2 linked regions of the Drosophila melanogaster genome follow. The gene in region 1 interacts genetically with each later gene. Each region holds a gene or a part of one and is shown on either strand. Other genes may lie near its edges.

The links. A genetic interaction does not mean that the proteins touch.
Region 2: of CG32137 (region 1) and lap, changing one enhances a phenotype caused by changing the other (phenotypic enhancement), as found in Drosophila melanogaster (one study listed by BioGRID).

The regions. Positions count from the first base shown.
Region 1 is NT_037436.4:13,937,612-13,942,407, reverse strand, and holds the start of CG32137 (uncharacterized protein), read right to left. Parts: upstream 3,159-4,796; 5' UTR 2,950-3,158; intron 1,739-2,949; 5' UTR 1,383-1,738; coding exon 933-1,382; intron 1-932. UniProt on the Drosophila melanogaster protein: Functions redundantly with BicD. Involved in formation and/or development of mechanosensory organs during metamorphosis.
Region 2 is NT_033777.3:7,185,111-7,190,099, reverse strand, and holds the start of lap (like-AP180), read right to left. Parts: upstream 3,107-4,989; 5' UTR 2,689-3,106; coding exon 2,553-2,688; intron 1-2,552. Other genes in the region: CG10055 (uncharacterized protein), read left to right, coding at 3,529-3,794, 3,890-4,286, 4,343-4,989. UniProt on the Drosophila melanogaster protein: Assembly protein recruiting clathrin and adaptor protein complex 2 (AP2) to cell membranes at sites of coated-pit formation and clathrin-vesicle assembly.

The sequences.
Region 1 (4,796 bases):
ACACACACAGTATGTCATCGTCCATAAAGTGACATGACTGTAACCATTTTTGTTTGTCTAAATAGTTAAAGAACCCACCCCACAATATAAATTGCAGTTGACAGTTTGGGGAGTTTGTGTGTTCAGTTTACAGAGCTGCATTGGACAGGTGCTGTGTTTCAGCTCTCGAAAAAAATCCATATTGTATATGTATTATTTAATTCTCCCGACCTGGGAATGCCAGCAATGCGTCAATAGAGGGGGTCATTTACGAACACATGTCCGCCAATAATCAATGCAAATCATCAGGTGAGTCAATCAAAATTCTGGTACTCAGGTATAACTGCCGTTGCCGATTTGATAAATGCGCCGGCATTTAGAGATAACTATTAGATTGTTCAAGAAATCATTAGAGGAAAAGGTAGGGAGCTTAAAAAGGGAAAATAATAAATGGGTCTGAATTTACAAATGTTGGTTTCACACAATTGGTAGCTAATATAGAGATAGAAGCAAAGTGATTATTTTGTTTATTGCTCACACTTTAGTAAATCAGATAGAGAATAGAGATAAAAGAACATGAAAGCATTCCCTCAATAAGCAAGATATCATTAAACTAATAATAAAGAGTGCTTAGATCTCTTCCATTCATTTAGAAAACATAACAAAAATTAATTTTTTCATTTCCCAATTCTTTAAATTGCTGCTTAACCATATTCAAGAGATACATAACTATCATCTCTATGATCTTTTAAATTGTAAGTGTATTAAAGTATAATATGCATTGCCTATCTTTTAAGTCACTAAAGTACCTTCCAAGCTATATGTCCTCTTCCTAAATTTCTTTTAATTCTAACCAATTTTCCTTTCCCCCAAATAACTGACTTCCATTTCAATTGTTTGCCATTTATAATGGCAATTCCACCTGTTAACTTTATATGTGTTTCATGACTCACCTCAATTTTGCTCGAATAGTCCTCGATGAGCTTTTCCTGCTGTTTGACCAGCTCCTCGTTCTTCTCGAGCAGTGCCTTGCCCAGTTCGGCGGCCAATAGGATGTCCGACTCCTTCTGCTGCAGCTGGGCCCAAACATCCGGCTCCTGGTCGTGTCGACGTGCCTCCATGGCGCTGATGTAGTGCTCTAAATCAATCGAATCCCCAATTAGTGACGAATAGTCGAGGTGGTCGAAGCCGGAGTCGTCCGACCGGAGTAGCCCCCCAGCTCCAGCTCCAGTTCCAACTCCGATCGAGTATTGGCCAAACTGACGTGGTCGCTTCGATTTGTTGCCACCGGAGCTGCTGCTGCTGCTGCCGCCGACGATGCTGTTGTTGTTGTTGTTTTTGGTGGATATGGATGAGGCAATGGCGGCAGCGGTTATAGCATTCGCTAGCTTTGGTTTATGCATGATCGTTAGCGGGCAGGCTTGGACTTATTTCAGGCGGGTAGGTGTGGTATGGTGTGTACGTGATATTACGGGTACGGATAATAGCAACGAACCAAATTTACAGACATAACACACACACACACACGCACAGTAAGTTGGATGCAATTAATATCAGTTTAGGTTTTAGTGCGATGCAGAGATCACAATTTTGGTAGTTGGGTTTATCGTTGGTTAGGTGTTCAGATGGCTCTGATCTGGTCGTAGGATTAGCATTAGCTGGCGCGGCGATACGATGATATATCCGAGCATAGTTCCATGGACACCAGCTGCTCCCAAAAGAGAGCAGACCCGTGGTTAAAGCGACTGATGTGTTTGAGCTGCAGTTGATTTCGGTTAGATATATAAGTATAAGTACACAGCCGTAATGAGAATTAGCATTAAATGTGGTATATATATATATGTATGCCCGCCAAGACGGGTCTAATCGTTGGCCAAAAGGAGCGACGGTCACGTTGAGCGTTTGCCAGCACGTTTTTAGTTACTTGTTATTGGGGCTTTTTTTCGGTTTTTGGTTTTGCTAGGGTCAGGGGTGTTTTGGGCAGGGGGGGGGGGATAACATATAACTACAGTGTTAAGCAAGAGGGTTAAGTTAGTCTTTAGTTAAGCTTCATGCGGCTTGGATATCAAATAGGGTTTAAGTTTCTTGCGGATTGGGGGGCGTATTGACATGCGTGGATTTATACAGGTGGGTGGATATTTATAAGGCTGTTAAGGCAGATTATCCAAAAAGAACTTCAGTAGTAGTTCCATTAAATTTAAGGGTATTAAAAGTTTATTTACAGAGGTTGCTTTAGTTAGCGAGGATGTACCAATGAGTTTAGTATGAGTCTCCGCTCTAGGTTTAAATTTCGAAATACCCAAATATATATACAATTAATGTTAAATGATTTTTAAAACATTATCGGCCAACTAAACACAACAATAGAGCCAAACGAAGGTGGCTAGAATCTCTCAAAGTCCACAGATCTCGTTTAAAATTTGGTCCGGTTTTTTTAAACTTATATATATTTTTTAGCCGTTTTCATTTGTTATATAGAAAATTCATTTGGCAAGCACTTCACGCTTAGCTGCTTTTGGTAGCAACAGCAACTGTTGTTAAAATGTATAATACGCTTCAGGCTAAGCTTTTAGCCAACACTTATTTTGTTATTTATGTGCGCTTTGTGTTTATTTTATTTTATTCGTTTTATTTTGATTTTTTTTTTGGAAGCAGCACAGACAGCACAGTTCACAAATACACAACCGATTTGGCTCAAATTGTTGGTATTATTGTTTTGCATTTCCGCTTATATATGCCGTTTTTGGCCAGAGTTTGGCATTATTATTGACAAAACAACAAAAATAACGCGCGGATTGCATGGGATATATTGGTCTAATTAATTCCCCCAAAACGGAAAGTATCCAAAGTATCCAGCAGATACTTTCCACTTTCGCAAGCGCGCTACAGTCTGGCCCTATATATCTTTTAAACTATTTGTATATATATATATATAGCTAACTATATCCGTATATGTATGAGGGCAGAAACCTCGGTCACGACGACGCTGCTCCACTCCAAAGCAGAACTTCCGATGTCCGATGTCCGATTCTCCGATTTTCGGATTCTCCGATGCCGTACAACGCGCGCTCGCTTCGCTTCGGTTACGATTTTCTGGCTTTCCCCAGCTTTTCAGAGGGCGGCTTCGCGGGGGCGTGGCGGATACGTGTGTCTGGCGCGAACGTTCGTTACTAACTGAATGGCGCTGAGGCCGCCGTGCTACGAAAATTGGCAAAACAAATGAGTAACCAAGCGACGACGACGACGAACGACTGGCTAAGCCTCGTATCTTGGCAACAACAACCAACAACATCGGTTGGCTCTCTTAGGTGGCGGTTAACAAAGAGAGTTACCAGTGTTCCACCAGGGTTGTCGAATAATAGCAACGAAGCAGGGGCGATAATCGCAGTCGAGTAATATTATTGGTTACAAAGCAACTAAGATAGCAAATTGCAATTTAGGACGCAGATAACTGATAATAGACTATTTATGGCCTAAGATATCTTCTTTAAGTCAATAAACATTTGGAAAACTGGTTTTCTGTTCAGCTACTGATAGGCATATCGTATTAGGCAAATCTCGATAGCCAAACCTAAAAATAAAATGTCATGATTACTTGGATTATTTTGGACAGAGATTTTGCAGTAATCTTACTTTAAAAATGTAGATCTAAAATCTACAAGGAAATAATTTAAGCCTTAGCATTGTGGATGAATTTTTCATGAAATCGCTTCTTACCTGGCAACCCTGGTAAAACCAAAACACAGCTCCAAAGGTAAGCTTCACTTGGCGCTCTTTTGCTCCGACTTCCTTCCCTTTTAACTGACATATGGTTGATTCGGCTCTACTCTCTTGACTGCTCTTCGCCGTTTGTTTTGCATTGGGCCCGACTTACGAAAGCGGCCAAGTGAACAATAATGAAACGGAGTGACGTTTCGAATGGGGCAGGGGGGCACTGGGGAGCGTGGCCAAAAGGGAGGAGGGCCAGAGACCTGGACCTCCAAAAACCACGACGTGCATACACACATGTACCCAAGCGTACACATTTCAATGCAAAATTTACATACGACAAGAACACAAACAATGGGCACCCAAGAATGGCAATAACAATGGGTATACACTAAGCAATTAATGGGTATATGTTTGCAGGAACTTTATTTCTTCAAATTTTTAGATTCGCGGTCATTTTGCTCTAGGCATCGAAATTATGTTAAAAAGCTAAAGTGCTCCGGAAGGAAGTAATTACAAGCTGTAAAAAATATTCAAATTGTTTCATTAACATCTGAATTTAATCTATATATTATACAGCTCAAAGTAAATGTATCTTTAAAATTTATTTAGAGATCAGTACTAATTACTGAAAATCAGTTATGAAAATGAAATATTCTATCACATACCCTATAATCATACTTCTAGCACATTCTGCTTTTGAAAATGAAAATAGGTACAAGTATGTGACCCCAATGTTTCCAGTGCATCCAAGTGAGGAAGATTTCTAAAGAGGGGGCCGTAGACATGGTCTATGTTAAAAAGCTAAAGTGCTCCGGAAGGAAGTAATTACAAGCTGTAAAAAATATTCAAATTGTTTCATTAACATCTGAATTTAATCTATATATTATACAGCTCAAAGTAAATGTATCTTTAAAATTTATTTAGAGATCAGTACTAATTACTGAAAATCAGTTATGAAAATGAAATATTCTATCACATACCCTATAATCATACTTCTAGCACATTCTGCTTTTGAAAATGAAAATAGGTACAAGTATGTGACCCCAATGTTTCCAGTGCATCCAAGTGAGGAAGATTTCTAAAGAGGGGGCCGTAGACATGGTCAG
Region 2 (4,989 bases), on another chromosome or scaffold:
CTTATATTAACACAAAGCAACCACAAACTAATTTAACATTTTACATTGATTTAAAATAATAAATGAAAATCATTTTATTAAGCATAGCTTTATATTAGTTTCTTAACGCATATCCATACAGTAGATTAGAAAACAATAAAGAACGTTTTTTTTTTTTGTAATTTTCGGTTAGTGAACCATTTGCTCTTTTCCTTAATTTTGTACGTCCAACTCAACTTTACTTTTGGTTGCGATTAACTTTGACTTGATATTTATTTTCCCAAGCATTTATTGGAAAAATCAATCAGATTCGATATAACCGCCGACAACTATTAGTTATTATCCTCTAGATTTATTCAACAGTATATTTTTTTTACGAAAACTTAGTTCATATGAGCAAAACAACAAATGTTTACATGTTTAAGAAGCAACATAAAACTTTAAAAGTCAATTTATCTGTTCCAGAAACAAACAACGTTTCTGTAAAGATTATTATTATTATAATAACCGAACCTCCCATAAATTTAATCATCTTGTTTTTTGCGTCCCGTTATCGGTCGCGACTCTTAGTCGTTGTTTGCTTATCTGCGCTTTAAGCTTGCAGCCGCCATTCAAGCTAAATACTGACGGAAAAGTGTCGATGATAAGAGCTGAATCCCATTGTGTCTACTATCATGCGCTTCCATTTGAATCAATTCCCATTTCGGTTGGAAAGTGTTTGTCGCCGAGCAAGAAAAAATTGCATGGGATTCGAGGGGCGTTGCACATTTCACAAGCCATCGCAGATGTTCGCCGTCCTTTTGCTTCATTTTGTTTGGCTGACGGGCGCCAGGCCAGTGATTCATTTATACATAAATAAGAACAAATTTCAATAAACAGTAAATGTGGAAAATTGATCGGTCCTTGTAAACGAAACTGGTGAGTTTCTTAACGAGCACAGTGGCCTGGGGGTGTCACTTTATGACAAAACGTTGAAATCGCTGAGTAGTTAAGACATTTTGAATGAGTTATTTAGTTAAAATTCGTATCCGCCCTTTTTGAAATCTTCACTGATTCACATATATTTCGAAAATATTTACAGTGCTCGGATACCAAAAGCGATTGGCGACTTCTGTAGCGTAGTTATCGCTGGGGTCAATTCGCATGCTTATGCTCTTAAATACATAAATAAATAAATGTGTCGGGTATCGAGACTCCACTGTAGTGGGGGACCATTGATACTTAATTTTAATTATTATTGCCCACTTGTGTAGCTGGTTGAAATATTCTGGGATCTTTTCAATCGGTGTAAAGCTCATTAAGTGCTGTTGTTTCCGTGAACACACAACTGGTTTTATCATAGGACAAAAGTTGTTAACAAAAGAAAATAGAGAAAATAGGTAGAAGAAATATATTTCATGCTACCTGCTGACGTCTTGTAAAATGTACGGACTGACTTTTAACTCAGGTTTAATTTATTTAGACTTTTGGTAACTGAATTGAGCATAACGTTTTGGATAAAGTAATCAACTTGAATAAACAGCACATGTGGCCAAATTTTGGGTTATATTGGAAATTGGTTTGCGGCAACTGCAATACAATGTTTATGTGACAAGTAACGCCCCACAATATTGCCCTCTTTTATTCCCATTTACTCGTAGCCATATCTGATGAGTCATCTGAAAAGTGCCAACAAGCTAAATAAAAGGGGGTCAAAATGCGAGCAAAACTAGCCAAAAAAACAGATTCCAACGGGAATGAATGTCGTTAGGATATGGAGCTCTTTAGAAGTATTTGCAAAATTCAAACGTGTAAGCAAATCCAGCAAATTAGGGAAGACTCTTGCATAAATTTAACAAGCAATGACACCGTGACAAACACAATCCCTGCTTTCGTAGGCGTTTTAAGCCATTCAAAGCCCCTACAAACACACGTGCACCCGTGGGAAAGTGACGTAACATTAGAGAGAGAGAGAGAGTGTGTTGGTAGAAAGAGAGGGGAGTCCAATCAATGACGAACGGAGTCCACAAACACCAGCAGCTGAGCCACAGATGCAATTTGAGGGTGGTGGTTTGTGTTTGTGGGACTTTGTGGACCGTAATCAGTGGTTTCGTTTTCAGAAAACTTTGTGATTTATCGCACAAAAACAAAAGGCACGTGAAAATGGAGCGAGGAAGCCAAGAAACCCGAACTGGTTGCATCTGAATGTTGTTGCTAAATTACTTTTGCAGCGTACTAACTGTGCCGATGGTTTTTATATTTAGGCTACATTTAAATTTTTTATTTTCTTTGCTAATTTGTTAGGCACTCCTTACTTTAGTATATTATTCATTCCAATTTTTATTATTATTAAAATTTAAGTTAATTTCTAAACAGATTTTATTGCGACTTATGTTTGCAAATAAAAATAAATTAATTTTAAAGCGTTACAAAGTAACAATAATATTTTCGTGTGTTTGATGGGTACATTTCCACTAGTAGCACAAGGCTGTGCCTCTTTTCTCTCTGTGTTATAACAAGGAAATGTAACGGTGATTTACGCAATGAAAGACCAAGAGAGTGGGCAAGGGAAAGAGATAGACAGGGCAACTCACAGTCCAAGTGCTTCTTCTTCGGGCCAATGCATTCCTCCGTGGTGGCCTTGCAAACGGACTTGGCGAGTCCTTGGCCCGCAAGGCTGTGACGGGCGGCCAGCAGCCTGTCGTTGATCGTTTGCCCTGCCATGGTCATGATGAAGCTGTTGCTGTTGTTGTTTCTGCTGCCGCTCGCTGGTTTTTATTTACTTGATTAATTTAATTATGCACCAAAGGAGCTGACCACACCGACACACACACACACTCGAAAGCAGATACAGAGAGAGGGAGAGAGAGACACACACACACACGCGTATGGGGCGAGCGAGAGACAGAGAGGTATTGATTGATTGAGAATATTTCGAACGGGAAAACTCTGCTATGCGAGCCTCACGATTAAACTAACAGTAAAGATTTAGTGGTTCCTACGTCACAATCACTACACAATTTATCGCCGCGGTTTATGCGCTCTCTAACCGGTGCCTAACGCTGAAACGCGATTTTTTAATTCTCTATTTTTCCTCTGCCACAAATCGATAATGGCGACTGGCAAATGGAGCGAGCGTATGAGCAATGTCCTAAAGCGTCCACAAAGTGGAGCTAACGCGTGCAATCGACTTGAGTTTACGGCGTTAGGTGGGAAAATATCGATTGCCATAACGTAAGCGAATACGAAATAGCTGAACTTAGCTTTTACGATGTGTTCATATAAGTTCTGAAAATAAAAAAAAATAATGATAAATAAATAAATAAAAATATAAAATATTAAGATACTATAAATAAATCTTTTTTTATAACTTAGCACTTAAAATTCCCCAACAGCAGTTAAAAAGTAGCTAGATTTGTCGGAAGTGTAGCCAAACGTAACGTAAGCTAAGGGGCTGTCAACAGGAATTTTTAGTTTCGAGTAGGCGGTCATACTGGTCATTAAAATAAATAAAATTATACTAAAAAACAGTAGTTAGCACAATCAACAGTCTCGTAATAAAATTGTAAGATGTTGAATGGACAGATTGCACACAGTTATTTGGAGAACTCGTGCACGCTGATCATACCCCGCCCGCCTGTCCTGAATCAGTCCTCAAAGTCGGCCCAGCCAGCAGCAGCTGCTGCTGCTTCTTCTTCCGCTGGTGAGGAGTTTGGTCAGGAAGCGGGGTCGGGGTTGGCGGAAGCGGAGGCGTTGCATGTGGATCGCATAAGAAACTGCGATATATTCGTTGACGCGCACGATCTTTATTTCTACGCAGATGTTAAGCTGTACAAGTGAGTCACATCCGGCAATCTGTCGTGCCCATGGTGGGCCATGGTGGCGAAATTCCAGCGATATCATTGCGTACTTGTACTCCCTTTTCGGACAGATTCCACAGCCGTCGCACCTTCGACTTGCGAGAGCTGAAGACGCTGTTGATAAAGTTCAACACGACAGAGAATCACTACCAAATTTGCCTGCGCTGTCTGCCCCTAACAGCGGGTGCCCAGGAAGGACCCGGTGGAGAAAGAGGCGGAGGCGGTGGTACGGGGGATGCAGCCAAGCAGTGGAATAGTCGCAAAGAGTACATAGCCGCATTCCTGCACCTACCCACACTGAGTGCCAATTTGCCGGACAAGCAGCCTCTGGTGCAGGAATGGAAACTCAAACGAATCACCGATCAGTGCCAATTGCAGCTCGACGACCACGAGCGCACCTACAAGCTGACCAACAATTTTGGGTACGGCTATGCTAGCGAATACAGCGGACCGCTAGACCTGAGTGAGGTGAGTTCAATTGGTTAACCTGCTCTTCCGCGCACTAAACACAGATGTTTTCACAGTTGGACAGAGCCACGTGCCGCGTGTCGGAGCCACATCGCATGAGCCCCATCCAAAGGCGGCAAGAGCGCGTGGTCGATGAGATGAAGCGCTTTTCCCGCGAGCAGTACAAAATAAATTTTGTGGAGCTACAGGTTCCGTCCGGTCACCAGAATCCTTTACGCTACAAACCGAAAATCTACGAGACTTCCATGACCCAGGAGCAAGCGCATCTGCTGCACAACATCAGCCGAATGCAGACACGGGAGCAGCAGCCGTGCGACGTTTTTCGGCAAAACGAGATCGATTGCGGGCTGATAAGCATTCTGTTGGCCATATGCTATGATGTGCGGACGACGAACAATGAGCCGACGTGTGAATCGGGCTGGACGCGAAGCATACTGTGCCCGCTTTATTGCTACTTTGAGCAATTCGACAACTATCGGGACGTACTGGTTGCCTTCCTGCGGCGAATGATCACCTACCCGCTGTACCGCAATTTCGAGTTGGGCCGCCAATGTGTACGGGATGCCATAGAAGTTTTAAAGGGCGGTCGCAACTGGTTAATTAATCAGCTGCTGCTAACGCACCAGCAGTTCGCCAGCAGTGATCCCAGTCGCGATAGCTTCAACAACTACTATTTGGAGGACTATATACGATATGTGACCAG